7 linked regions of the Bombyx mori genome follow. The protein of the gene in region 3 binds, or shares a complex with, the protein of the main gene of each other region. Links are inferred from orthologs where the notes say so. Each region holds a gene or a part of one and is shown on either strand. Other genes may lie near its edges.

The links.
Region 1: pre-mRNA-splicing factor CWC22 homolog (region 3) and cysteine-rich PDZ-binding protein share a complex: the UniProt entries of both Homo sapiens proteins name them as parts of the minor spliceosome. The link is inferred for Bombyx mori from reciprocal best matches to the Homo sapiens genes CWC22 and CRIPT.
Region 2: pre-mRNA-splicing factor CWC22 homolog (region 3) and small nuclear ribonucleoprotein G share a complex: the UniProt entries of both Homo sapiens proteins name them as parts of the minor spliceosome. The link is inferred for Bombyx mori from reciprocal best matches to the Homo sapiens genes CWC22 and SNRPG.
Region 4: pre-mRNA-splicing factor CWC22 homolog (region 3) and splicing factor 3B subunit 5 share a complex: the UniProt entries of both Homo sapiens proteins name them as parts of the minor spliceosome. The link is inferred for Bombyx mori from reciprocal best matches to the Homo sapiens genes CWC22 and SF3B5.
Region 5: pre-mRNA-splicing factor CWC22 homolog (region 3) and G-patch domain and KOW motifs-containing protein share a complex: the UniProt entries of both Homo sapiens proteins name them as parts of the minor spliceosome. The link is inferred for Bombyx mori from reciprocal best matches to the Homo sapiens genes CWC22 and GPKOW.
Region 6: pre-mRNA-splicing factor CWC22 homolog (region 3) and protein crooked neck share a complex: the UniProt entries of both Homo sapiens proteins name them as parts of the minor spliceosome. The link is inferred for Bombyx mori from reciprocal best matches to the Homo sapiens genes CWC22 and CRNKL1.
Region 7: pre-mRNA-splicing factor CWC22 homolog (region 3) and serine/arginine repetitive matrix protein 1 share a complex: the UniProt entries of both Homo sapiens proteins name them as parts of the minor spliceosome. The link is inferred for Bombyx mori from reciprocal best matches to the Homo sapiens genes CWC22 and SRRM1.

The regions. Positions count from the first base shown.
Region 1 is NC_085130.1:5,681,103-5,685,739, forward strand, and holds cysteine-rich PDZ-binding protein, read right to left. Parts: upstream 2,958-4,637; 5' UTR 2,696-2,957; coding exon 2,523-2,695; intron 937-2,522; coding exon 807-936; 3' UTR 728-806; downstream 1-727. Other genes in the region: drebrin-like protein, read right to left, coding at 3,837-4,459. UniProt on the Homo sapiens protein: As a component of the minor spliceosome, involved in the splicing of U12-type introns in pre-mRNAs. Involved in the cytoskeletal anchoring of DLG4 in excitatory synapses.
Region 2 is NC_085133.1:8,585,111-8,588,435, forward strand, and holds the end of small nuclear ribonucleoprotein G, read right to left. Parts: exon of another isoform or gene 2,973-3,325; intron 2,968-2,972; exon of another isoform or gene 2,964-2,967; 5' UTR 2,879-2,963; coding exon 2,847-2,878; intron 2,663-2,846; coding exon 2,515-2,662; intron 1,176-2,514; coding exon 1,125-1,175; 3' UTR 905-1,124; downstream 1-904. UniProt on the Homo sapiens protein: Plays a role in pre-mRNA splicing as a core component of the spliceosomal U1, U2, U4 and U5 small nuclear ribonucleoproteins (snRNPs), the building blocks of the spliceosome.
Region 3 is NC_085110.1:1,337,467-1,342,147, forward strand, and holds the start of pre-mRNA-splicing factor CWC22 homolog, read right to left. Parts: upstream 3,309-4,681; 5' UTR 3,080-3,308; coding exon 2,032-3,079; intron 1,509-2,031; coding exon 851-1,508; intron 1-850. UniProt on the Homo sapiens protein: Required for pre-mRNA splicing as component of the spliceosome. As a component of the minor spliceosome, involved in the splicing of U12-type introns in pre-mRNAs. Promotes exon-junction complex (EJC) assembly.
Region 4 is NC_085126.1:5,965,300-5,968,339, forward strand, and holds splicing factor 3B subunit 5, read right to left. Parts: upstream 1,539-3,040; 5' UTR 1,379-1,538; intron 1,274-1,378; 5' UTR 1,268-1,273; coding exon 1,010-1,267; 3' UTR 931-1,009; downstream 1-930. Other genes in the region: uncharacterized protein LOC101736097, read left to right, coding at 2,978-3,040. UniProt on the Homo sapiens protein: Component of the 17S U2 SnRNP complex of the spliceosome, a large ribonucleoprotein complex that removes introns from transcribed pre-mRNAs.
Region 5 is NC_085127.1:6,320,350-6,324,510, forward strand, and holds the end of G-patch domain and KOW motifs-containing protein, read right to left. Parts: intron 2,206-4,161; coding exon 2,073-2,205; intron 968-2,072; coding exon of another isoform or gene 897-967; exon of another isoform or gene 896-896; intron 805-895; coding exon 344-804; 3' UTR 315-343; downstream 1-314. UniProt on the Homo sapiens protein: RNA-binding protein involved in pre-mRNA splicing. As a component of the minor spliceosome, involved in the splicing of U12-type introns in pre-mRNAs.
Region 6 is NC_085124.1:5,696,516-5,701,461, reverse strand, and holds the start of protein crooked neck, read right to left. Parts: upstream 3,106-4,946; 5' UTR 2,943-3,105; coding exon 2,904-2,942; intron 2,831-2,903; coding exon 2,645-2,830; intron 2,300-2,644; coding exon 2,184-2,299; intron 1,294-2,183; coding exon 1,137-1,293; intron 1,043-1,136; coding exon 1-1,042. UniProt on the Homo sapiens protein: Involved in pre-mRNA splicing process. As a component of the minor spliceosome, involved in the splicing of U12-type introns in pre-mRNAs.
Region 7 is NC_085128.1:8,257,665-8,261,825, reverse strand, and holds part of serine/arginine repetitive matrix protein 1, read right to left. Parts: exon of another isoform or gene 4,156-4,161; coding exon 3,985-4,155; intron 3,763-3,984; coding exon 3,635-3,762; intron 2,580-3,634; coding exon 2,485-2,579; intron 1-2,484. UniProt on the Homo sapiens protein: Part of pre- and post-splicing multiprotein mRNP complexes. As a component of the minor spliceosome, involved in the splicing of U12-type introns in pre-mRNAs. Involved in numerous pre-mRNA processing events.

The sequences.
Region 1 (4,637 bases), on a different chromosome or scaffold from region 3:
TATGAGTCGACTATTATCAAAGCCGGCAATCTGACTTTTGGACAATGATTGGTAAATCAGAAAAACGAATTATTGACTTTGTATTCCATTGGCAGTCACAAAACTCTTCGGAACGAAATCTTAGATAAATAACAGGTTAACTATTAACCTTTATTTAGTGAAGGTTTTGAACCGTATTCTTTGAAGGAGACGATTATATTCAAATCAATCTGTATTGACATATCAATAAAAATATTTTGTCCAAATGCACAGATTGCCACCTTTGATAATAGACGACTCATATACACATATGTTTAAGTAATATCACCTTCACACTACACCTACCAAGGTTCATCTCTGCACCCCCCTAAGGTAGACTGTTAGAGAATGCCTATGGCATTAAGTCCTTTATACCGTTTAGTATATAAAGTTATAAATAAATAAATAAACATATATTCAGAATTATTCAGATTATTTAGAACATAGATAGGACAGATGACAACTTGTAACAATCATTATAATTTGTCATCATTCATGAGTGTTAGAATTATTCTCATTTCATTTTTGAAACCGATTTCTTGGATTCAAGTCTTGATTATCTGTAGTACCGCTAATTGTGGGTGTTCATAGGTTGGCATTACAATCCTATCTGTTTATTCCTCGAAGCAATCACACTTTACCATCCGTGAGGAAATTTCCAGTATCTTTATTATTATCTTAAAATAGTCCAAGGCATATAAAGCATTGCTTTACAAATACACTATATTTTTTCTTTTAGAACTTATTTAGGTAATGTTTCTTATGAACTAGGATAACATAACAATAAACTAAGTTGAGCTCTGTCTGTAATTCTTAGTGTCTAGAATCTTCTTTCCACACATGGCACATATACCCTTTTTGTATGCACAAGCTTGGCAGTAATGTGATCCGACCTGGTGTACTTTCGTTCTGCAGATTCTGAAAAATAAAAGAATATATTTTAAAAACTTTTAATACATTTTACTGGAGGTATGGTTAGACCTAATAGACGCCTTTGAAATGTGGAGCTGGAGAAAAACGTTACAGATTCCATGGAATGCCTTTCTCACCAACGTGACTATTCTGAGAGAGCTTAATATCATAACTAGTCTTTCCAATATATGCCTTCGTTGGGTGCTGGAATTCTTCGGACATATTGCCCGTAAAGAGGGTCACAATCTAGAACAGCTGATGCTGACAGGAAAGGAAGATGGCAAACGTCCAAGAGGATGCAGTACCACGAGATGGTCGGACTAAATACAATCTTCTCTGAACATCAACTTCCACAATGTCCTTCATGAAGCTAAGGATCGCAGCAGATGGAGGGAAATCGTACGGAAGAAACTGATGCAGCGGGGGAGTTCAGTAATGAGGAAAACGACACGAGGAGGTGGAGGTGGTATGGTGTAATGTACTGAAATAGGTTCCACAAACCTAGTTATTGCAACCATAAATTTGTCCCATTTTCAAAGGAGAGCCATTTTTAAATTCGAATAAATCTTCAACTGCATCTCTTCATATAAAAACAACGTACACATTACAATCATCTATGGCCCTATTAATCTACCCATGTAGTGTACTAAATAAATCACTCAAGAGAAGAAGGGATAATGAATATAAAAAACATCCTTCAAACAAGTAACAACTAACTTTTATTGTATTGTTATTTTACATATTGGTAACTAAAAGTCCAGCAGTATTTAGTGTGTTTGTCTGAAGCGTTCGGGATTAGGAAGTATTATTATGAATATATGAGGCAAAATTGGGGAAGTATTATTAAGAATGTATGAGTTAAAATTGGAGAAGTATTATTAAGAATGTATGAGTTAAAATTGGGGAAGTATTATTAAGAATGTATGAGGTAAAATTGGGGAAGTATTATTAAGAATGTATGAGGCAAAATTGGGGAAGTATTATTAAGAATGTATGAGGCAAAATTGGGGAAGTACTATTAAGAATGTATGAGTTAAAATTGGAGAAGTATTATTAAGAATGTATGAGTTAAAATTGGGGAAGTATTATTAAGAATGTATGAGGTAAAATTGGGGAAGTATTATTAAGAATGTATGAGGCAAAATTGGGGAAGTATTATTAAGAATGTATGAGGCAAAATTGGGGAAGTATTATTAAGAATGTATGAGGCAAAATTGGGGAAGTACTATTAAGAATGTATGAGTTAAAATTGGAGAAGTATTATTAAGAATGTATGAGTTAAAATTGGGGAAGTATTATTAAGAATGTATGAGGTAAAATTGGGGAAGTATTATTAAGAATGTATGAGGTAAAATTGGGGAAGTATTATTAAGAATGTATGAGGCAAAATTGGGGAAGTACTATTAAGAATGTATGAGTTAAAATTGGAGAAGTATTATTAAGAATGTATGAGTTAAAATTGGGGAAGTATTATTAAGAATGTATGAGTTAAAATTGGGGAAGTATTATTAAGAATGTATGAGGTAAAATTGGGGAAGTATTATTAAGAATGTATGAGGCAAAATTGGTTTTTAAACATCAGGATTACTCACTTGCACTGTTGAAATGTGGAAGTGTACGGATTAAATCGTCCTTTTTTGGCGGTTAATGCTTTGTTTTCTCCAACAACACGTCCGCCGGACTCCACGGTATTCCTAGCTCCAGCCTTCCAAGGGTCCGGCGTTATTACTCTGCCCAATTTCTTTTCGCACTTCTCACAAACCATTTTTGTTCTGTTTCTTACTAACCTAACGAGCTTGTATTAGTACGAAATTTTATTAAATTGTTGTTTTGACTGAATAATATGTAGGTTATATTAATTAAATATTACTTATCAAATATTAAAATATGCTCTGCTAGTGAACAGCTAGTTTTATTAAGAAATCATAGTTAATACACTTAATATTTGTTAGAAATAAAATTTATTTAAGTTGATGTTGTTACTAATAGTTTTCTTTTGAATTGTCATTTGGATAGGCAACAGGAATGAAGCCCATACAGTCAAAACTTGTACCGAAGTGCGGTTCCGTGTCTGTGGTATTAAAAGTGGAACTAAAACAATACATAATACAAATTGAATTGGTTCTGGAATTAAATTGAATAAAGAAAATGAAATTCAATGAATTAATATAAAAGACGGTCAGGACTTAGATGAGATGAAAATACCTTGCAATCAAATGGGTGGACAGTTGGTTTACTAAGACGGACTTATTCTTCCTATTTTCCACGGACTTTTTGGAAGGGCCCGTTATGCCACGGCCTATTTTTCACTAAGACTACGGTTAATATTTCAATGTACTTTTACGAATTCTAATCGATTAATATGTAAATTTTAAGCCTGAAGAGACATTAAATTAAAAAGTAACAGCTTGAGTGCCCGCCAAATAGTCCTTAATGTTTCGTGCTGTATTTTCTTCAAATTAAATAGTGTAACGTCGGTCTCATGCAAACAAGAACTGCTTGGCAGTCCAAATAGGTTCGAAGCCAACTCGTGCCACTTATAAATCGCATAGTCCTACACGACTTCTGTGCGCACCCTGACCCTTAAGTACTTTGTATATTGTTTTAGAAACCGTCAAGACAAAATCGAGATCATGGGGCTTAAGTTGAAGAAAAAAACAAAATAATCACGTTTTCCCTGTAGATAAAAAAAACATCAAATAAAACATCATATCCAATTGCAATATAAGTATTGAGCGATTTATTAACTCGTTTCTCGATAAACATTTCAATAGATTTTATTATTCAACACATTCAACTTTCATAGTTTATTTATCCGACGCCGAAAGCTAATCTATATTAGTGGCACGTTACTCTATCAAAAGCGTTGTAACGGAATGTTGCAAGAAATAAAAACATACGAATTGCTAACTCTGATGTTCCTCCGCCATTTTCGTTGGAGCATCACTTGGATTTGTGTCATTTGACTCTGGGTAATATTGTTCTTGTGGAGCCTCCGCTGTGTTCTCATAGCTTTGTTCGTAATTCTGCTCGGGTTGGTAGTTGACTTCGGCTATGTTGTTGTATTGTTCTTCGCTATATTGCGCGTTGGGGTCAGCATATTGCTGATATTGTTCATAATTTTCATATTGTTCGTTTGCGTAAGTCGGCTCCTCGTAATTATTTTGGTATTCAGGTTGGTATTGCATTTCTGTTGCTTCGTAATTTTGTTCCTGTCCAATGAAATTCGCATCCTCTTGATAAGTCTGTTCTTTATGCTCTACGTCCATTGGTCTTTCTGATTTAATTGGTGCATCGTTTTGATTTTTGTAGGGTTTTTCATCATCTTTGGACATCGGTTGAGATTGATGTTCGTCGGTTATTGTTGTAGGCTCTTGGTGGTCGTGATGCTCGGGTTGGAGTCGCTCTCTGTCCGTTCGGTCTGTATGTCCGGTGTCTCCGGGGGACTGATCTCCGGGATCGTCGTGTCCGGGAGAGGAAGCAATAAAGGGTACGCTTCTGTCGGCTGGAGTATAGTGCGTGGGATGTGCTGTAATTTGATTAAAGTTAGTTAAGTATCTACGCCCTGAGAGAAGCCGAAAACCGAAGCAAATGGAAGCTGATGGTACAAAGAGCCCCGAAGGGCTTTCAAGGACACGACCTTCAGCAATGAAGTATTCGACTAAGAAGAAGAAGTATCTAAATTTAATTATTTCGTACATTCATTG
Region 2 (3,325 bases), on a different chromosome or scaffold from region 3:
TGCCAACCAGGTGGACGGACATTAGCAAGGAGGCCACAAACACCAGCGTCCCGGGCGCCATTAAGCAGGCCGAATGCAGGCAACATTGGAGGAAGCTGGTGCAAAAACTGGACCAAGGTGGTCACGACCCTCAGTAATAAGGAAACGACAAAGAAGAAGAAGAAGAAGAATAGCGTATCTTCGATAAGGTTTAAATAACATCTGAGTCGACTATTATCAAAGGCGGCAATCTGACTTTTGGACAATGATTGGTAAATCAGAAAAACGAATTATTGACTTTGTATTCCATTGGCAGTCACAAAACTCTTCGGAATGACATCTTAGATAAATAACAGGTTAACTATTAACCTTTATTTAATGCAGGTTTTGAACCGTATTCTTTGAAGGAGACGATTATATTCAAATAAATCTGTATTGACATATCAATAAAAATTTTTTGTCCAAATGTACAGATTGCCGCCTTTGATAATAGACGACTCATCTATCGATTTACTTGCCTTAACAAGTGAACACCTGAAAAACCTGCACAATACCAAAATACTGCTTTTCCCACCAGAACTTCTAGAGTAGGAATTTATTTCTTCAAAGGTATATTCAGTTTGATACTTAGCTGTGCCAATTGCATTACTACAATGACCAACAGCAGTAGTTGCATGATCTAGAGCTAGACTCATCTATACTAATATTATAAAGAGGAAAGATTTGTTTGTTTCTTTGTTTCGAATAGGCTCCGAAACTACTGGACCGATTTGAAAAATTCTTTTTCCATTAGAAGCCGACATTGTCCCTGATGAACATAGGCTACTTTTTTTATTTTTTTTGGTTTCATGTGTGTTTTAATGTTTCCGAAGCGAAGCGAGGGCGGGTCGCTAGTAGAATATATAGATCAAAACAAACACAAATCTGAGGTGTTTCATTATTATTTATTAACTTAACCTAACATCACATTAAATTTAAATAGTGAAGTTTAGATATAAAATTATCAGTTTTCCTTTTTTTTTCTTTTACTGTTGCTGCTGTTGCTGTAGAAACTAAGTTTTAGATCCGAGTTTTATATTTATTTATTGATGAAAAGTGAAGCACATTTACAGCATTGGTGATATTTCTTGCCCACTCTAAGTCTACTAAAGTCTGTCTAAAGATTCCAGCATTATAATACTGTTACCACGAATTACCTGAAAGAAAGATTAAATTGTTTTATTCAGTTCCTTTACAGTCAAATATTTTTTGTCATAAAAAATCACGAGCTACTGCTGAGCAATAGTAGTGATTTCTAAAATACCATGTGAAGGACACAGCAAAACTAATGCTTACAGCTAAACAAAATAGTTGTATGTAACTTACAACTATTTTTTAAATATCAAACACACTATCTGAGTCGTCTATTATCAAAGGTGGCAATCTGTGCATTTGGACAAAAAAATGTTATTGATATGTCAATACAGATTTATTTGAATATAATCGTCTCCTTCAAAGAATACGGTTCAAAACCTGCATTAAATAAAGGTTAATACTTAACCTGTTATTTATCTAAGATGTCGTTCAGAAGAGTTTTGTGACTGCCAATAGAATACAAAGTCAATAATTCGTTTCTCTGATTTACCAATAATTGTCCAAAAGTCACATTGCCGCCTTTGATAATAGTCGACTCATCTATACTAAATACACTTCAAACATCAAGAATTGTTGTAGTGACAATACTTAATGAGTATTTATGAATGATCTCCACCCTGAATGAATTGTGTAATGTAAATCAAACCCCCAAAAATTATTATTTGCATAATTACTGGTGGTAGAGTATCTTTTTAGCGAGCACATGTAGATACAATATCCCAGTCTACTTCTGCCGTGAAGCAATTATGCGCTTTAGTATGAAGGGTAGGACACCTGTTGTACTATAAAATTGAGACTTAGAATTCATGTTTCAAGTTAAGTGATGGCATTTAAGTTGTTGATGTCATTGGGCTCCAGTAACCACCTACACCAGGTGGGCCGTGAGCTCATCCACACATCTAAGCGACAATCTCTTTCAGAATTCAACAAATGTTTGTGAAAGTTCTCTGCTGTAAAAAATAAAATGCAAAGTATTAAATTTTTTTAATGCGCCACCAATAGTGGCAACCTTTTTCGGCTCTGATAACCAAACTTGCCCTATTATAATCTATACTACATTAATATTATAAAGCTGAAGAGTTTGTTTGTTTGAACGCATTAATCTCAGGAGCTACTGGTCCGATTTGAAAAATTCTTTCAGTGTTAGATAGCCTATTTATTGAGGAAGGCTATGGGCTATATAACATCACGGTAAAACCAATACAAGTGGAGCACCAATAAAGAATGTTTCAAAATAGGGGATTTAAACAGCTCCTTAACATTCTATATTTAAAAAATACTTTCACTTTCTACGTAAATGAAGTGGGGGGTAAAATTTAGCGTTATGCCTAAGTAACTATTCCACGCGGACGGTGTCGCGGACAAAAGCTATCTTTAGAGTGTTCTTGAAAATATACTAACCACCATCCCAACATTGTTACGCTGACCGTCTTTACACTCCTCGACTGATTCATCAAGAACTAAATTCATGAATGGATCAAAACCGCGCAACACACCGGTAACAGCGCGACCCGCATTCAGCTTTATTGACAATTTTTTGTCCATGAATCTGAAATATATAAAAGCACCATTTAAAGTACATATTCTTTTTTGTGTATAAACATCAAATATGCGAATTTCTACGGACTAATTTGGGATTTTAAAGAATTTACGCTGTTCTTTTAATTTTAGGTTATAACAAGGACGCCAGCTTTGTTTGCGAGTGAAACAAACAAACTTCCAATATTACTTACTTTTTCAATTCTGGTGGATGTGCTTTTGACATTGTAATGTGCTTTTTAAAATATTATAATACGGAATTAATGTTATTGTCGTGGATTTTTGTATATTAGATGAATTTCCAACCCATCGAATTTTGCAGTGGGTGGAATCTCCCATACATATTTTTTTTATATGGGATGAGATCCGAAGTTGTGACACAACACAGTGTTACCGAGCTAATTGGTTTAACAGAGTCATAGTAATTTTTATCAATACGTGAACATTGAATTTGAAAACAAACCGTACGTTCTCTTTACTTATTTTTATTAATAATATAGTTTTCTTTGCATTTCTGTAATGCTACTACTACTCCTGCGTCTTAACGCGTTAATTAGTGCGCTAAATTGGCATTACGCACCTAGCTATAGAAAAATGTAAATTTCCTTATGGCAACACTAAACAAAATGCCGGTTAAGCTTTGTTGTTTTTGTTTGTTTTGTCGTTTATTCAT
Region 3 (4,681 bases):
ATACTGAGAAATTAGAACTTATATCTCAAGGTCGGTGGCGGCATTTACGTTGTAGATGTCTATGGGCTCCGGTAACCACTTCACACCAGATGGGATGTGAGCTACTAAAATGTTCACGAATAACAACTCTGTCGTCCGTAACCACGAAAACTGTTAGTATTCGAAAATAATCTATACATGTAAATAAAATTGGAGTGTCTGTTTGTAATATTGAAATAGCCTCTTTTTACTACATTCATATGAATATATACGGTAAAAATAACATTTTTTACAATTTTTGTCTGTATGTTTGTTCCAGCTTATCTCTGGGACGGTTGGACCGATTTTGCAGGGACTTTTACTGATAGGTAGCTGATGATATAAGGAGTAACTTATGTTACTTTTTTTAGACTAGCTTCGCCTCGCGGCTTCATCCGCGGTACGACAATAACCGCGGTTAACATCGCGGGGCTCAGCTATCAATAATAAAATTTAATGTTTCCGAAGCAAAGCGAGGGCAGTTCGCTAGTAATAAAGTTCGCAAGATTAAACCATAAAGATAGTTTTTGGTAAGCCGTAAACTTTGTTCACTGGTTCCGAAACCATCTCCTAACTCAAAAGAAAGGGTAAAGCTAGTATTAAATCACACCCATGAGCATAGCAATGTAGCAATTGTAGTTAAAATCAACATTCATTATTGTGAACCTCTCATAACAACTGTCATTGCTCTCAGCAATATATAATCGCTTGTCTGTGCCCTGAGCTATCCTTTCAAAGAGTTTCCACTGTCATTTGTCATATTTCCATTTGAAATTGAGGGTTTATTTATTATTATAAAACTAAAAAAACATCAAAACAAAGTAATACGAACGGATCTTGTAGACGGTCATTCAGTTTCTTTAGTCCCATGTATTCAGCCAGTTCTTGAAACAGAATCTTTATGTATATCCGACTAGAACTAGTTGTGTCTTCTTCGTTCAATTTAACACATTCCAAAGATTCCCAACTAATGGAATCTGTAAACAGCAGATGGGCGAAAAACTTGCTGACATTTCTGAGTCTATTCGTGTCCAACCTGTGTGCTGTTGAATATGAATCTTTGAAAATTTCCTCGAAAGGTCCGATGTATATTCTGTTGATGTTGCAAAACCTTTGGGCCAATAAGCCATAGAATTTCTCATATGTTCTCTGCTCAGCACAGCAGTCTAAGAACATGTGGCATAGTTCCACTTCTTGTCCTGGTTTCAGTTGCATCTTCATTAGTTTATGAGCACATTCTTCGAAATCTAAACTGGAGTTGATTGTCAGGTATATAGTGCGTCTCAGAGCCACTAAGTTTGTTTCTGTGTTATCAATAATAGTCATTTCTTTTTTTGGTTGTTCTTCATCTTCTTCATCAGATTCCTCACTACCGCTTTCTCCTGAACCATCTTCATCACCGGACTCAGCATCAGAACCAAGTATTTCCTTGCAAAGATTCTTGTACTTCTGTTCATTCTCTTCATACTTTTCATCAAATTTGAAAACATCTGAAGCATTTGGGAAAATTGTTATTTTTATTCTTTTATACTAATTTGCTTATTTTACATTTGTTTTAAATGGAGCATTAAGATAAATTGTTTATAACATTCAATAATGTTGGGCATAAATGAGTTAATACATACGATGGAAAATAAAAATAGGCTAAAATAATGGATATTGAATTCACTAACACAGAGTACTACTATCTTAAAACTTAAAGCAAAAAGTATATGAAAAAAAATTGAGATTGTTTAAGTTACATTTTTAAATAAGCTAAAAGCATTTTTATGTAAACTATATATAAAAATTTTTGATTAATCCTATTAAAAATTAAAACTTTACTCGTTTAGAGTGTTATATACACTCAAAACTTTTAGCATTTTAAGTGTTACAATAACTCTTGTGCATACCCTCAATAGCTATTAAATAACTTAGGGGAACAAATAATTCAATTGACAGACTGTACAGATAATCTACTTAAGTGTTTTATGGCTTATTTTTTTATGGATAGTTTAATAGAATATAACATACTCAGGATATCTTGAGGATCTGTAGCGTCATCCAGCATCAATAGATGTGTGAACTGTTCTTCTTCAGGCACGAGCTCCAACTCTTCAATCAGTGCCGGGTGGTCTTTGAACCCATCCTTCCAAACTTGGAACATTACTTCTATCATGTACTGAACTCTTTTGTCTAACTGACCTTCGTGCAAAATGTTCCTTAGCATCTCGAAAATTGCATTTACACCTTTAGATGATACTTCAGTCAATTTTTGGCCACATTCCTTTAAGAATGCTATGGCAACTTCAACTGAATCATCTGTTGGTGATTCAACTAGTAAAGTGAGAAGTTCTAAAGCCAGAATTTCATGTGCCACTCTCTGATTCACTAAATGTGCAATGAAAGATGCAGAGGAAATGCAAATTGACTTATCATTGCGTTTAAAACCTCTTTTGAATTGAATCACTAATCTTTTCAGTAACAACTCCCCGATATTAGGAAAACGTGAATTGACTGCTGATACTAGAGCCGCGTATACATTAGTGAATGTTGGCGAGGCTGCCTGGGCTTGAATAACAGAACGGCATAACAAACCTCGACCTCTGACAATGTTTTCTTTCAATAATTCCTTTATAATGATACCTATGTTACCGACATTAATTTTGTTGATGTGACCGTGAATTGACTTTTTGAGAGCTTCCCAGGCAAGTCTTTGGTAAGCTATCGAGGACTTATCCGTGATCTGCGCTTGCATCATCCTCAGTCTTGCTGGTGGAATGTATGCACCTCCTGTTCTAGTATTCAACATATCAGTATCTTTTGCGCGTCTTTCTGGCTTTGTAGAGGCATCTTTTTTTGTTTCTGGCTCTTTTTGTGTGTCTTTAACTCGTTTATCTTCCCTAGCCTTGTAATGAGGTGAGCGTGATTTGGAACGCCGGCGTTTACTTCTATACTCCCTATTCTGCTGTTCCTCAAGTGACTTAGATCTAGATCTAGCCCGTCTCGACCTTTTCGACCTACGCCTTTCATCATCTTCCTCGTATTTATCTTTCTTCTGCTTGGTGTTAGTCTTCTCCATTCTTATGATTTTTGTTTTGACACTACTAGACTACAATTGAACTTTTTATAAAAGAATTTAATACTGTATCTAGAACTCAATATTATTAAAACTATTCATTTTCAATATTATGTGTAAAATCATGAAATTTATTTCGATGAAAAAGTAGAACGTGCACTAAGTAAAATCCAGCTTGACCTTAATAAAACAGCCATTTTGTTTTGACATTTTTATTTTACTGTCATGTCAGTAGTAGTAGAGTAGTAGTAACTCCGTTTTCCAACTGAAAAGGTGAAGGTATCATACTATACGGCCTAATAAAGTAAAGTATTGTTTAAAAAAATTTAAATGAAGTTGTTTTTGCGACATTAATCAATTGAGATTTGAGATGACATTAAATGAAACGAAATGATATGAGATGAAATATAATATCAGTAAAATGGTGTTTATGTATTTGGACAAATTCAGTTAACTTTTTTAGATTATCCACTCTCGGCGCTGTTAGGTGCTAATTTAATGGATAATCCTAATGTTTGCAGCAAAGATTTTTTTTTCCTACCTAAGCTGATGTTCTAGAGAGATCATATCAGCGTCACCAGGCTAGTAGGTGAGCTCACGTTGCTCAAACCTGACGATGTTGCTAACACGAACCCTAGCAAGAGCAGTGCTGCGCAGAATCTACCACCGGATCGGAAACACGACCCACCGAAAAGATCTGGCGACAAACTCAGTGGGCTGTGTCTGTGGGTTAATTTATTCACCCAGTCCTTCGTCGCAAGCGAGGGGCTTGACGAGAACGATGACCGGTGCTTGGGGTACCTAAAAGCACCGTTAGTGGATCAGGAGGATCCGAGATGACGTATTTTGGGTGACGTCGAATGTTTACCATTTGGTCCGCAAGATCGGCAATGTAGTTATCGGCGGCCACGTTGAGAGGGTTCTCGTGTCGTCGGAGCCCATAGACACGTCATGATAATCGCCTTATCGTTGCCGCCGCTGATTACTCCCCGAATCCTGATCACGCAGGAGCAAGTCACCGTCGTCGCCCTAGACATGTCCTTACGGATCCATCAGATCCAATAACTCTTACATTAGATACCTTCAGCTCTAACACTAGGAGCAGGCTGAGGAACCCCGGTAACCGTACTCGTCGAACTCGACAAAGAGGTCGACGTGCAACCTAACCCATGCATCAGCTCGCTGAGTTTCTCACCGGATCTTCTCAGTGGGTCGCGATTCCGATCCGGTAGTAGATTCATTCGCGAAGCAATTGCTCTCGAGTTGTTAGGTCTCCTTCGGAGGCGCTCGGGTAGCTGTTAGCAAATCCCACCCCTCCTGGCTGAGCCTTTGCTCGCCCACCTGTCCTGGTGAAGCTGGAAAGGCCTCCGGGCCACCAGTAATCTTTCAATCATAAAAAAAAAACATTTACAACGTAAATGCGTCACCCACAAAGAAAAGCGGAAAGATTTCAAGAACAACGCCATAAGCAGCCACACTACAGCTATGCTCCGATAAGCACTGCCAGCATTGTAAGATGTGACGTCAATTTAATATACTGCGAAACTGTTCTTTTATAGTTAGCTATACTGGTCACTGTTTAAAACGGAACGTAATACAGTTTAT
Region 4 (3,040 bases), on a different chromosome or scaffold from region 3:
TGATTAAAATACTCCCAGGTTATTTAAAGAATCTCTTAAATTACTTTATATTTAAACTACAGTCAAAACCGTTTACTGCGACATCGTTTAGAACAACATGCCGGTTATAACAACCTAGAACAAAGGTCCCGGCTGAATGCCATATGACCGCCTTATTAAAAATATTGCTTTCTACGACATTGGTAATAACGACATACCTCATAAAACGACCACATTTAACTAATATTTTGGAGAATTAGATCTGTTAGAACGACCGGCTAAGCTATATTGTAAACAATTTGAATAGGTATCCACATTTGTCTTCAATGGCTATTAAAATCAGGAAAGAAAACAATAGGATTTAGTTTAGTGTAGGGTCTTTTCTAATTCTTAGAAACAAAACACGTGCATGCAGTAGAGTCAAAGACCGCTTCTTCATATCTCTTCAGTTAGTTTATTACTTATCTATACATAAAACGCACCAAAACTTTGTGGAGTTATTCGTGAAACTTTGAAAATGTCGCAAAGAAAAAGAAAACAAATTAATATTGAAGAAAAATCACGTATTTTGTAAATATATTTTTCCAATAATTCCCTATCGATTTGTTTGTACTTGCACGATACACATTAAACATTACCGGTTGTTACGACTATCGGTTTTTACGACTGAATATGAGCAGTCCCTTCGATGTCGTTATAACAGATTTTGACTGTATATATATAAGGCTAAATGGAAATCAAAACTGATTTCTTTGAGATAAAACAATATGAAACAAGTTTGTATATAAAAATAAGATTGTCAAACATTTGACCATTGAACCAATTCTAAACTATAAACTATACCTGTTATTAAAATTTGTAGTTTTTATTGATAATAGTTGAGTTTTTGGTGGTACTATTTGAATAGACTAATTGTGTTTGTTAAAGGTTATAGAAATGAAAACAAACTGCTCGAATTTATGTCATGATAAGGGATTCAAAGTCAAATAATAAGTAAATTAGCTTAATTCTATTTTTAAAATCGAAGCGTTTAATCTTCAGGCTTTTCTGGCGGTGGGCCGCATGGTTGAAGCATTCGTTCCATCAAATTGAATTTTACGCGCGCTTTAGATTCATTTTCTACGATCGCAAAGTAACTCAACAAATCCGGATGACCCATGTAACTGCAGCAAGAGTCGCGATGTTGGTTCATAAGCCATTCATATTTTGTAGTGTCGGCGTGGCCTGTGCCTATATATTTGCTCTGTAGATGTTCAAGTTGACTGTGAATGTTGTATCTTTCACCCATTTTATTCTGTAAATTATTTTAAGGTTATAGTTCGAGTTAGTAATGTCATTAATGTAAAATTAAATGGTTATAAAATAAATAAAACGTTTCTAATAAAATATACACACTTACTTTAAAGGCAAGATGCTTGTTGAAATCGTATAGACTCTAAAGTTTATATTCTAATTCAGCTAATATTGATATCACGTAGCAGCCCAAAACAAAGAGTATTCATAGACAATACATAAATTGCAGTGCAGATTACTGCAGACACGGCGTATCTAAACCATAGATACAATACTTAACGTTGAAATCTAAACACCAAAGGTTGTGCACAGTTTTTTTTATTATTTCTTTCACTGCATCTTTCACAGTAAGTTCTTAGATCTGTTTACATATCATCTGGTTTTGAAATAAGCTTTCATCTTTTAACGAAGCTTGGGAAGAGCCCCGGCAGTGGAATTAGTCTTAGTCTATGCTTCTGACGTTGACGTTCATCAGAGACGATCGCCACTTATTATTAAGTGGGACAGATACTCGTTTGCCGATAATGCTGACCAAAACAGTTGAGTACAGCTGTGTTGTCACATTTTCCTATACTTGTGGACTTTTAGAGATACTAAACGGTTACAATTTTTCATTAATAGCACGTTTCAACAAACAAAAAAACAGTAAGTTAACAAAATTAACTATTAACTACACTTCTACAGCTCACGCAACAAAGTTATTAAAGCAAAGAGGTTAATAAAAGATAAAATAAAAAGTAAAAAAAGGTAAAGGAAGGATAGAAGTCGTCGTGGTCTAACGGATAGGACGTCCAGTGCATTCGTGTTGAGCGATGCACCGGTGTTCGAATCTCAGGAGGGTACCAATTTTTCTAATGAAATACATACTAAACAAATGTTCACGATTGACTTCCACGGTGAAGGAATAACATCGTGTAATAAAAATGAACCCCGCAAAATTATATTTTGCGTAATTACTGGTGGCAGGACCTCTTGTGAGTCCGCGCGGGTGGGGACCACCACCCTGCCTATTTCTGCCGTGAAGCAGTAATGCGTTTCGGTTTGAAGGGTGGGGCAGCCGTTGTAACTAAACTTGAGACCTTAGAACTTACTATATCTCAAGGTGGGTGGCGCATTTACGTTGTGGATGTCTATGGGCTCCAGTAACCACTTAACACCAGGTGGGCTGTGAGCTCGTCCACCCACCAAAGCAATAAAAAAAAACCCGTGAGATATACATAATTACAACCACGCTAGATCAGCTGCATCTATCATGGAATCTTAAGCTCATCATCATCATCATCATCATCATCAACAGCCCACAGTCGTCCACTGCTGGACATAAGCCTCTCCCAATCCACACCACTGAGCCCGGTCTGCGGTTCTCCTCATCCACTTATCTTAAGCTCACAGGTATTTTAATTAAGTGTATTTTCTATGCTCACAGTTACATATCAACTTAGAGTACTTACAAAGTACACTCTAGGGTACGTTGATATCGTCGTATTTCTAAACTCTTTGGTATGTTGTTATGTTGATTAATTGATCAATTTAAAACCAGTTGCCATAGAAAATACACTACCGTGTTTATTCAATATTTTTGATAAACTTAATAACCAGAAGCCAGTCATTACTGAGAGAGTTGTTTTTATCAAGATATACATTTCGTAATTCTGTTCGCCTTTAAATATTCTCTATTCAGAATTATTGTTATTTCTGACAAGTTATGAGCAAATTACCGAAAGAAACAGAGCTTAAAGAAAGTGAAAAAAATATTCGCAAACAAGCA
Region 5 (4,161 bases), on a different chromosome or scaffold from region 3:
TCCTCTAAATCTGGTCCAGAGGTCAAACTTCTCATTTCTGGACATTAAATAATATGGTATTGAAAATAAATGAGGTACATCTAAATGTAAGGCAATTAAGGCAGACAATTTTAATGATAGATTTATACCTATGTATAGACGTAGTTGAGAATATTAGATAAAAAAAATGGAATCAGAATCACAACTTTGCGGTTTTTTTCCTGACTGAACTTTTAAGCAGCTCGAGATTCAAGGGTTCTGAGATTAAACCGGTTAGTTTCAATTCTAAAGGGCCTTTTTCGGTCAAAACAAGAAGCGGAAAATAAAAAAATAAAAATGATGAAGATTGTAATTCATTTAAAGCTTATTTTCTATGTTTTTTATAATTCGGTGAACGATCCCTGTCTCTTTTCTTCTTTTTTCCCTTCCTCTTCTTATCGATATCTCGTTTGCCGTCCGGTGTAGCGCTACCTTTATTCTTTTTATATTCATCTTCAGAATCCACGCTTCTTTCACGCTTTTTCTTGTCTTTCTTCCTCCGCCTCCTCTCATCCTCTGATTGAGAACTTAAAGATTCGTTGCTGCTGTATCTTTTTTTGTGCTTCTTTTTCTTCTGAGATCTCTCTTCACCGGTGCTTGACGAGTCTCTCCTATGTCTATCCTCTTTTCTATTTTTACCATTTGACCAATCTTCTCTTTCACGCCTGTCGGTATGTTCATACTTTTCTTTCTTCGTTTCTCTTTTAGGTGAACTCTCTATATCTTTTTCTTTTGACGATTGAGGAACTTTTTCATCTTTCTTGTATTTTTCGTACTTGTCTGCATCTATAAATATTTACATTTTTTTATATTTACTAAGTGTATTGCTCTTGCAAAAAAAAAACAAATTTACATGTGAATGGTCCAAGTATTGTACCTTACAGGCCCCTCCGCGGAGAAAATACATTTAAATTAAACTTCACATTGTGAGAGAGTTCTTCAATAGAACCTGTGAAAAAAATCGTAATTAGGTTACAATACTTGGACATTTAGCCGATTATTGTAACTCAATTGAAAAATAAATGTAGAACTTATAATATATATAGATGAATCAGACCAAGCACAATTTATATATACAATTGTGATTTGAGTGTCATGACAAGACAATACTAGCCTAACAGGTGGTCACAACAGACTTCAACACTTTTATATTGTGTAATGAAACTAAATTCCCAAAATTTATAAAATTCCTTCCTTCTACAAAGTATTTTATTTTTTATTGCTTAGATTGGTGGACGAGCTCACTGCTCACCTGATGTTAGGTGATTACCAGACCCCATAGACATCTACAACGTAAATGCCGCCACCCACCTTGAGACATGAGTTCTATGGTCTCAGTATAGATACAACGGCTGCCACACCCTTCAAACCGAAACGCATTACTGCTTCACGGCAGAAATAGGCGGGGTGGTTACCTACCCGCGCGGACTCACAAGAGGTCCTACCACCAGTATTTACGCATTCTGGTTTACAGTTTGGTTATAGGCGTTCTTCAATGGTGACTTTGGTCTTATATCTTAAGATGACTGCTTTCACGCTGTGAAGCACTGCAACTTATTAAAACCAGACGGTTTATAAGCTTCACGGCTGTTTTAAACAAAATTTGTTTACATAATTTGTAACACACAAAATATTGTGTAACACACAATTTGTTGTTCACAAAATATTGTGAACAGATGGACCTGATTTTTTTTAATTGCCTTTGTAGACAGGCGTGCATTAGACCCACCTGATGATGAGTAATTACCGTCGCCCATGGACGTCAGCAATGCCAGGGGCAGAGCCAAACCACTACCTACCGTTAAGTATTCTTCACAAGTAGTAAATAGTCAAATTAGAAAGGAATATGGTGGCCTATAAAAAGTTTATAGTTGTCTAAGACTGACCAGATAAGGGCTACAAGAAATTGCTTCCTGCACATAAGGCACCAGACACAGGTAACTGACAGAAGTGTCACCGGATAAAACCCATCACTAAACACACAACGGTCACGACCATTCTGCCAAGAGATCAGAGACAAGGAGGACAGATGTAAATGAAAAAAAATTAAGTACTTATAACTTTGGATTCCTTGTCGAATTCGGACTTTGTGACCGGATGCATCATGAACTCGCTTAGATTGACAGTTTCATTTTTCATCACTATATTGACCATAGCTCTGCCGTTGTCTTCATCGAGGCTAAGCACCTGAAATGTTTTTGAAAATTGTATGACAAAAGGTGAGGTATCTTTATACATATCCTATAGGAGTTAGCATAGGAAACTAACGGCCGTCCGGTGTAGTGGTAAGTGACATGGTCACTACACAAGGGGGTCGCGGGTTCGAATCCCGCCAAGGGAAGATATTTGTATGGTAAATATAAATGTATTTTCCAGGGTTATGGATGTATATTAAATATATGTATGTGTATAATAAAAAATCTTACATTTATTTCCGTTATATGGACTTAACTCCGTTAACTTGTAACACAAGTTCTTTACGAACTTATCACCAGTTAACGTGGCGTGATTGTCAGTAAATATTTATATTTATTTATTTAACTCATTTTTTTGCCTTTGTAGGTCAATTTTTTGCCTGCCAGTTATTGGTCACAGTCACTCAAGGACATCAGCAACGCCAGTACTATAGCTAAGCAGCTGCCTACCGCAAATGACTTTCCTTAAAACTTTTTTTGAAGAATGTCATGTCGTAGCAATTAGAAACACAGTGGAGGGGACTTTATTCCAGAGTAATATGAGCCAGAAGGTACATGGCAAAAAGATCTCTGAAACAATCTGCTCCAGTCGCGAGCGGTGCAATGGTAAAAAGATGAAATGTGTGCTCGGAGTGCTCCTTATTATAACTAGTCAGGTCATAAGTATTGTCACACAGTAAAAACTTTTCTTTTAGAATGCTGGCCACAAAAAAGTTTATTGAATTCGAATTTCGAATTGTTCATGAAAATAAAAATGTATACTTTTAGAATTTTACTCATTTTTAAATATGGAGTGGACGCTTAAAGAAGACCGTGTTGCAGTTATTGCGTTGCATCGTTGCGGTTACGCGCCAATTCAAATTTTTAACATACTGAAAAATTTGAATATAACCAAAAGATTCGTTTATCGTACCATCAAACGATACAATGAAGACTCTAGTGTCGATGACAGGTCAAGAAGTGGTCGCCCTCGGTCTGTTAGGACTCCAGCAGTGATAAAAGCTGTGAAGGCGCGAATTCAAAGAAATCCCAAACGTAAGTAGAAACTGTTGGCCCTTCAGATGGGGTTAAGCAGAACCACGGTGAAAAGGGTGTTAAATGAAGACTTAGGGCTTCGGGCATATCGAAGAAAAACAGGACATCGTTTGAATGCTCGTCTAATGGACCTGAGACTGAAGAGATGCCGCGCTTTGTTGAAGCGGTACGCGGGAAAAAAATATCGGGAAATTGTTTTTTCGGATGAAAAAATTTTTACCGTAGAAGAGAGCTACAACAAACAAAATGATAAGGTGTACGCACACAGTAGTGAAGAAGCGAGCAACCGTATTCCGCGTGTCCAACGAGGTCATTTTCCATCCTCGCTCTTGATATGGTTGGGAGTTTCTTAATGGGGATTAACAGAGGTACATTTTTGTGAGAAAGGTGTAAAAACGAATGCAGTTGTGTATCAAAATACAGTCCTGACGAACCTTGTGGAACCTGTTTCTCATACCATGTTCAATAACAGGCACTGGGTATTCCAACAAGATTCGGCGCCAGCTCATAGAGCGAAGAGCACACAAGACTGGCTGGCGGCGCGTGAAATCGACTTCATCCGGCACGAAGACTGGCCCTCCTCCAGTCCAGATTTGAATCCGTTAGATTACAAGATATGGCAACACTTGGAGGAAAAGGCGTGCTCAAAGCCTCATCCCAATTTGGAGTCACGCAAGACATCCTTGATTAAGGCAGCCGCCGATATTGACATGAACCTCGTTCGTGCTGCGATAGACGACTGGCCGCGCAGATTGAAGGCCTGTATTCAAAATCACGGAGGTCATTTTGAATAAACTTTAGTGTCATAAGAATCTATGTTTTGTTAAGTTCATTTTGGTATATGAATGGTTACGTAATGAATAAACTTTTTTCAATTATTTTACATTAAACATGTGACAGAATTTATGACCTG
Region 6 (4,946 bases), on a different chromosome or scaffold from region 3:
ACAACAATTCTGGCATATCTAATCTCTGTTGACCTACAGCTATTTCATAAATAGCCCTTGCGCGATCTGTATCTCCAAGCAGAGTTTCTAACTCTGCAAACTTTATCCATGTTACACAATTTTCTGGACCATACTCTAAGAATTTCTGGTATAATATTCTACATCTGTCAAATTCTCTCAACTGTATCTCAAGGTCTATATAACCTCTGTATAATTTATCTCTGGGGCACATGCCCAGAGCCATACCAAGTGTTTTTCTTGCTTGCTTTAAATCTTTACATCTCACTTCAAACTGAGCATACATGAGCCATATTTTTGAGAAAGTAAATATCTTATGAGGAATTAATTCTAAACAGGTTCTGTAAACTTGTCTTGTTCGATCTAAATCTTCTGCTTCTAACTCTTCATATAAAGCGTAATTAATCCACAAGTAAATATAACGCCTCCAAAATTGTTTGTCCTTTGAAGGAGGGATATTTGCAATTGCTCTCTCATATGTGTCTCTTATGTCATCTAAATTACCCTCATTCTCCACTAATCTAATATAATCAAACCATGCATCATAATTTGTGGGATTCTCTATAACTTCCTGTTCATACATATACTTTCTCTTATTTACTATTACATCCTCAATGCCAGATCTATCACCATACTTCTTTTCATGAATAGTATAAGCTTTATAAAGTTCTTTATTTCTGTCTTTTGGGACATGATCCAGAGCATATTTGTAAATCACTCTTGCTCTGTCATGTTCTTTTTGATTTTCTTCAAATTTGGCAAACGCTATAAACAGTCTTTCATCTAATTCTTCATCACCAAAGAATTCAACAGCTCTCTCAAAAACTGTCCTAGAGCCATTTATGAAACCATGGTTTTCTTCAAATTTTGCATATTTTATCCAATTCTTTACATCTGGATGCACCATAACAAACTGTTCATAGATTTGTCTAGCCCGTTCAAGTTCTTTGTACCTCAATTCAAAGTTTATGTATGTTTGCCAAGCTTGCTCATCTGGATGCCATTCCATCCAACGTTCAAATACCTGTGAAACAAAAGTAAATTAGAAACCTTGTTTCAGTTACAGTCAGTGACTATTATCATTATACGAGAAATTGTACATGTATAAAAAATATCACCTGTCTTGCTCCAGCTACATTTTCCAACATTTCCTCCATGTAAGTATATTTGTACCAAAACTGAGATACTCTTGGCAGAATTGTAACAGCTCTGTCCCATAGATTACGGGCATGGTTTACCTGTCTGTTCCTCATTTCCATTTCAGTATACTTCAGCCTAAAACCCATGATACGCTGAGAATATTTTGGTGTGGTATAACAGCCTAAAGTACAGGTAGTTAAGGTAGTGTGGATAATTGAAGAGTGACGCAAATTTAACAGTTAAAACTGTAAGAAATTTACCAAGAAAGTCCATGACTTTTACAGATTTTTCAAAGTACAGATTGTTTTATTTGTTAAATAAGTGGCTCTTGGACTAAATAGGCATCAATTTGAGATTGAAGTCTCAATTCCTTTATAAAACAACTGTTGGACAATTCAAACCAAATGCATAACTGTTGAAATAGGCAGGATGATATATTACATGCCAGTTCACAATACATTAATAGAGTATCAATTTTGTAATGACACTTTGTTCTTATTTACTTATGAAATTTCTTCATATCGGGTATGTATTTCCTTAAATATATTGGGCTTTAGGTAGCACAAAGGCTATGAACTCTAGTATAGTTGTATTGGTCATTACAAGTATATCAAACATCTTAACATTTCGTCCACAATTGTCTACAAGTTTACTAACCAAATAAAATTGTAATGTGAACAGAGTGACATAGGAATCTTTTTTATATGTTCTATTATAAGCTGATCTTTGTATGGTAACTCTTTAAGAATTAATTTTTTTCTTCACTGTGACATGAATTTTGTTCTAAAGCCCATGTCTTGAGTGATCCAACAATATGTCCTTGTTCAAATGAGGCTTACAAAGAGTACTCAGTAGTGTGACTAACAATTACTATCAGATGAGCCAAGAATGCAAAAAAAAATTAACACCACAGATTTCTCAAACATTTTTTAAAATAGTCATATGGTTTAAACACTGGCAGTACCAAGAGCACATAAGTTAATAATTTTTCAAATAAAATTGTTAATTGTAATGATAGCTCTCACCATAAGGTAACATTTCTGTGATCCACATCCAAAGCACGCTCATATATTGAACGAGCTCTTTGGATTTGCTTTTGTGATTCTTCCCATTGTGCATATTTAAGCCAGTTCCCAATAACCTGAAAACAAAAACAAAGCATCCATTAAACTAAAATTCGATATTATTATATTATTTGTTGTTTTCTTGAAGAAATACTACTAAATAAAAGTATCCTCATCTGGTTTTCGTCAGTAATGCTCTGAGTAGAAATTGTTTAGTACCCTTCTTATTGTGGAAACAGCATGAAACCTATATTGTTCAAAGGATCGTAATGGCACGAAATCAATTAATGAAATTAATTTGGTGAACTCTATCAGCTAGTAAAACTAAGCATTGGATGGTCTTAAAACTGAGAAACAATTACATTAATAGGAAAAACAGTCATTTATACATTGTAAGCGACTAATAAATTGAATTTACTTACAAGTCTGTTCTTTCTTATGTTGTCCTCAAATGCTTTACGTTTACGATGTTGGTAGTCTCGAAGTTCCTCAGGATCAGATATTTTCTGTTTAGGTGGCGGTGGTAATATCTCAAGGTCTCGTTCTTTGGCTTCCCTAAGTAATTGTTCAGCTGTTATTTGGATTTCTGCTGGTGCTTTATTCTTCACCTAAAAATCGTGAGATCCATGTTAAAATTGGAGTAATATTATTCAACAATACCATCAAACACTTTTTTCGTACCTTTGCCACTTTCGGCATTTTTGTTGTCTTGCTGTCCATGTTAAGTTCTACGTTCTGCACAGTTTATAATTTTTTAGTTCAGTTTAACCTAAATTTAATTTGATTACATACAATAAACAGCTAAGTACAGGAAAGGAAATCTTCAGGTTTTTTTTTTATTTATTGTCAAAATGAGAAGCATAGATTATACACATTTTTAAGAGAAGTGAATACGGTAGGTAGTGGTTAAGGGTGATACCGATATATTAGCATTCACTAAGATATTCGTAATACAGCTTGTATTCGTCTATCGGTAATCCGTCGAATTCTGATATGCTAATATTCCGTATTCACTTATTCATAATAATAGCCAGCTCACATCAGTCGGGTTGTATCTATCCACAGAACACTGTTACTCCTAGCGAAATATCTATCACACGAAAATATACTGACATACGCCGTACGTGTCTCGCGGATATCTGTTTATCACATTCATATCAATGCACTGCATGCGCTAAGAGTAAGTGAGATAATCTACATGTTTATATACTGAGCAATGAAAATAACTATATTTCGCTATGAGTTTAAGGACTATTTTGTATTGCACTTTTTACATGTCAAAGATGCCAGTGGGAATTTTTAAATGCATTACTTTTTATGTTTGTACTAAAGATTCGACTCAAGACAAAATAGTGCATTTCCACATTTATTGGAATAAAATCGGTGAGCTTTATTTTCATTAAATGTTTATATGTAATAAATTATGATGACAATATATTTTTGTGGTAGTAGTTAATTATCTTCTAAGAACTTCTCAAACTATAAATAAAAGTTTGATTTTTGAATCGAAATGACTTTCTAACCAAACGGTTCATGGATTATACTATTAATATAACTGTTGTGTACCTACTAGCCACCTCAGTACCGTATCAGAGGATTTTTTCGAAATCTGGAATACTCATTTCTGAGCGACGTACCGGTCATTCGGTAGAAAAAGTAAAAAAGCTGATGTTTTTATGCACCAATAAGAAATAAATAATATTACTAACTTGTTGTTTATATTAATGTACAATGTTGACCAAATTCTGGTTTAATAATAATATTCATATTAATGTACATAATATTACTTGTAAAATATTTAGTATGAAATCAAATTCCTAGATACAGTATACTATTTATATTAATTTAATAACTAATTTATGTGTATTATCTATGATTATTAACTTATTTCACGAATACCGTACTCGGTTAACTCGTTTACCCGTTTTATCGAAGTATATTAAGATATCAGGATATATTCACGCATTAGTTAAGTTATTATAATATTACATCATGAATATATTCGTATTCGCTAATATTGACAAATATCGGTATTAACCCATCTTTAGTAGTGATATGTAGGTAGTAGGTAGATTTTTTTTTATAAATTTCTAGTGGCTTCGAAACAAAGTTTTTTAAGCCAAGTAGGTAGGTATCTATGATAAATAGCACAGATAATACACGTAATATGTAAACTAAGCCATCGAACCACAGAGAATGTTTAGTTCGTTTATTGGACAGACAAAAGTAACTAGGCCATACAGCAAATATTTTGTAACTAAGGCTGAAAATATTGTACGAAGAATGAAATGGAACAAATGTAACGTATTTAATAAGAAATTAAATTAAACAGGAAGACCATAGACACTAAGAGGTGATTTAAATATGTTGGCTTAGTTGGCTAAGCTATAATAATAATGCAATGAGAATTTAATGGATTTGTTGAAAAAATCGAGAATCGATATCTAGAGTCTTTATATGCTCCTCTAAATAAACCATGTCGATAAACCTAAACGGCCAACTGATAAGTGGTGACTAGAGCTCTTGGACATCACAACCTCAATGCCGCTACCAATATTGGTGCATGAGGTTGAAATTTCTATTTGCATTGTGTAATTATTATGGCACCCTTCAAACCATTTTAAGTCGTTGTGGCCTAAAGGATAAGAGGTCTGGTACATTCGAACCTAGCGATGCAACGGTGTTCAAATCCCGCTATCAAGTACCATGTTTTCTAATGATATT
Region 7 (4,161 bases), on a different chromosome or scaffold from region 3:
TGGAATTGTTTATTCCCTCCTCTGAAGTGCCCGTTGGGGGTCGCAGCAGACCCTGGTATAACAATGCCAGCAGGGATGCTGCACACCTCAAGCGGTCCGCATACGTGGCATGGGATAATGCCAGGAGACGTCGGGATCCTAACATCTCAGGGGAAAGGCGGAAATATAACGCCGCTTCCAGGTCCTACAAGAAGGTAATTGCCAAGGCGAAGTCGGAGCACGTTGCTAGAGTTGGCGAGCGATTGAAGAGCTATCCCTCCGGGAGCCGTGCTTTTTGGTCGCTCGCCAAAGCTGCAGAAGGAAACTTTTGCAGGTCTAGTCTCCCACCACTGCGCAAGTCCGATGACAATCTGGCCCACAGCGCGAAAGAGAAGGCTGACCTTCTGGTCAAACTCTTCGCCTCGAACTCGACTATGGACGACGGGGGTGCCACACCACCGAGCATCCCCTGGTGTGATAGCTCCCTGCCGGATATCTGCTTCACACAGTGTGCAGTCAGGCGGGAGCTCCGACTCCTGGACGTTCATAAGTCGAGTGGGCCAGACGGCATCCCCGCAGTGGTTTTGAAAACGTGCGCCCCTGAGCTGACACCTGCGCTAACGCGTTTGTATCGCCTCTCTTATTGCACTAACAAGGTTCCGTCTTCATGGAAGACTGCTCATGTCCACCCTATCCCCAAGAAGGGTGACCGGTCGGACCCATCGAGCTACAGGCCTATCGCGATAACTTCCTTGCTTTCCAAGGTGATGGAGCGAATTATAAATACACAACTCCTGAAGTATCTTGAAGATCGCCAGCTGATCAGTGACCGACAGTACGGTTTCCGTCACGGTCGCTCAGCTGGCGATCTTCTTGTATACCTTACTCACAGGTGGGCTGAAGCCTTGGAGAGCAAGGGCGAGGCTCTCGCTGTGAGCCTTGATATCGCGAAGGCCTTCGACAGGGTCTGGCATAGGGCACTTCTATCGAAGTTACCATCTTACGGAATCCCCGAGGGTCTCTGCAAGTGGATCGCTAGCTTTTTGGATGGGCGGAGCATCACGGTCGTTGTAGACGGTGACTGTTCTGATACCATGACCATTAACGCTGGCGTTCCACAAGGTTCGGTGCTCTCCCCCACGCTTTTCATCCTGTATATCAATGACATGCTGTCTATTGATGGCATGCATTGCTATGCAGATGATAGCACGGGGGATGCGCGATATATCGGCCATCAGAGTCTCTCTCGGAGCGTGGTGCAAGAGAGACGATCAAAACTTGTGTCTGAAGTGGAGAACTCTCTGGGGCGAGTCTCCGAATGGGGTGAATTGAACTTGGTTCAATTCAACCCGATAAAGACACAAGTTTGCGCGTTCACTGCGAAGAAGGACCCCTTTGTCATGGCGCCGCAATTCCAAGGAGTATCCCTGCAACCTTCCGAGAGTATCGGGATACTTGGGGTCGACATTTCGAGCGATGTCCAGTTTCGGAGTCATTTGGAAGGCAAAGCCAAGTTGGCGTCCAAAATGCTGGGAGTCCTCAACAGAGCGAAGCGGTACTTCACGCCTGGACAAAGACTTTTGCTTTATAAAGCACAAGTCCGGCCTCGCGTGGAGTACTGCTCTCATCTCTGGGCCGGGGCTCCCAAATACCAGCTTCTTCCATTTGACTCCATACAGAGGAGGGCCGTTCGGATTGTCGATAATCCCATTCTCTCGGTTCGTTTGGAGCCTCTGGGTTTGCGGAGGGACTTCGGTTCCCTCTGTATTTTATACCGTATGTTCCATGGGGAGTGCTCTGAGGAATTGTTCGAGATGATACCAGCATCTCGTTTTTACCATCGCACCGCCCGCCACCGGAGTAGAGTTCATCCATACTACCTGGAGCCGCTGCGGTCATCCACAGTGCGTTTCCAGAGATCTTTTTTGCCACGTACCATCCGGCTATGGAATGAGCTCCCCTCCGCGGTGTTTCCCGAGCGCTATGACATGTCCTTCTTCAAACGAGGCTTGTGGAGAGTATTAAGCGGTAGGCAGCGGCTTGGCTCTGCCCCTGGCATTGCTGAAGTCCATGGGCGACGGTAACCACTCACCATCAGGTGGGCCGTATGCCCGTCTGCCTACAAAGGCAATAAAAAAAAAAAAAAAAAAAAAAAAAAAGTCTCAATTTTGTTATAATATACAATTTCGTTATAATATATGAACACAGTAAATATGAGTCGCCAAGAGTAATTGCATTGTATAACATCAATCCAACCCTTCAAACTGAAACGCAGGACTAGTTTGCCGCACAAATACACCGAATGGTGGTATCTACCCGTGCGGGCTTACAATACGCCCCATAACCAGTTAACAAAAGATAATGTAGACATTTTACTTCGCAACGATAACAGAAGCAAAATCTTACAATACAATCATATTTAAGTGAAAACAACACACCAACAAGTTTATTATGTTAACATTATCACTATCATTGTATTTTTATTTACGTCTACATTAACAGTACCTTTGGTTTCCGGTTCAGTTTTCGCAGGGCTGACCTTGTCTCTGATCGGGCTGCTGCGCCGTCTCGATCGACGCGGACTTCCGCCGTTACGATGCCTAGAGTAATTTTAATGGTCATTATCTTATGTCTAACTAGCTATCATCCTCAGCTACACGCTCCACATTTCGTACCTTTTTTTTCCTGTCTAAGCTGATGACCTTCAGAGACCAGCGTAACCTTAACAAGTAGGTGAGCTCACGGGGTCTCAAACCTAACCCTAGTAAGAGCAGTGCTTCGCAGAAACTATCACCGGATCGGAAACGCGACCCGCTGAGAAGATCCGGCGAGAAACCCAGTGAGCTGTGTCTATGGGTTAATTTACTCGCCGAGCCCTTCGTCGCAAGCGACGGGTTAGACGATGACAGGTGCTTGAAGTACCTAAAAGCTCCGTTAGTAGAACGGGATGATCCGACATGACGTGTTTTGGGCGACGATTTTGTACCACGTTGGGGGTGGTGACTCATACTCAGCAATGAGATAGATCAATGGTAGCTCTTTAACCATTTCCCAGGTTAAAACTAAAATTATGATTTTGACAGTTTTTTTTCTTATTAAATTATACATACGAATATATTTTGCTATTTAACAATTAACAGTACAAGAACACAATTTAAAAAATATTTGTAATTATCGTAACTAATTAGCAACACGCAATTTTAATAAAACAATATATACTACTACTACTCCTAATTAATCAGTTGACTGGCGATAAATAAATGTAATTCCGAATGTGCACAACCAACAGAAAATAGTCACATGGTGATTCTACTGCTCTTCAGTAGTAACCCCTTTTATATTCTATTTTACTCCATGAATAGACTAACTCGAATTTTACTAATTTAATATATGTATGACAGACAACCTTTACATTCTCAAAAATATATTCCAAATGCTTACTCCTTATCACTATGTGGGCATAGTGATAAACGGCGACTGTTACTCTGTTAATGATTTTAAGCGTTTAATTTCAGAGGATCCGCTATTCAACTAAGCACACTATTGTTTTGTATTATTAAATGGGCAGCATAGTATTAAGTATCCATGTGCAATCCACCCCTACTACCACCAGCAATGGATGCTGCTACCTGGAAAATATACGTCTACTACTAACTTTCTGTCACTGGAACGATCACGAGAACGAGTTCGCGAGCGCCGTCGGTCGCGAGAGCGGCGCCGGGAACGCGACCGGGACCTCGATCTCCGTCGCTCCTTGTCTTTGTCCTTGTTCTGCTGCTCCTCCTATTTCACGTAATGTGTTTTCATTTTACAACCAAAGTATTAATTTTCTTACTTATTCTCATAATGGTAAAGTGGTGGATATTATACATTTTGATCATCCAAAAGTACATGACTGTCTGTATTGGATTATATGCTCAAATAAATATTTACTATATGGGACAATTAATAAAATTTATGAAATTTGCTACTTCAATGTTAGTCAATATTGAAGTTAATGCATACCATTCTCTTCTTTATTTCTTCTTTCTTCTGCTGAGTAAATGATTCGGGTATACCGTTTTCACTGGCCTGCGCGCTCAGCAACAGCTCCCATAACTCTCCCATGAAAAGGCGTGCGTTCTTTCCATTTAGGAATCCAGTCAAGTTGATCTGCATTTTCTTTGGGCATGGGAACTAGGA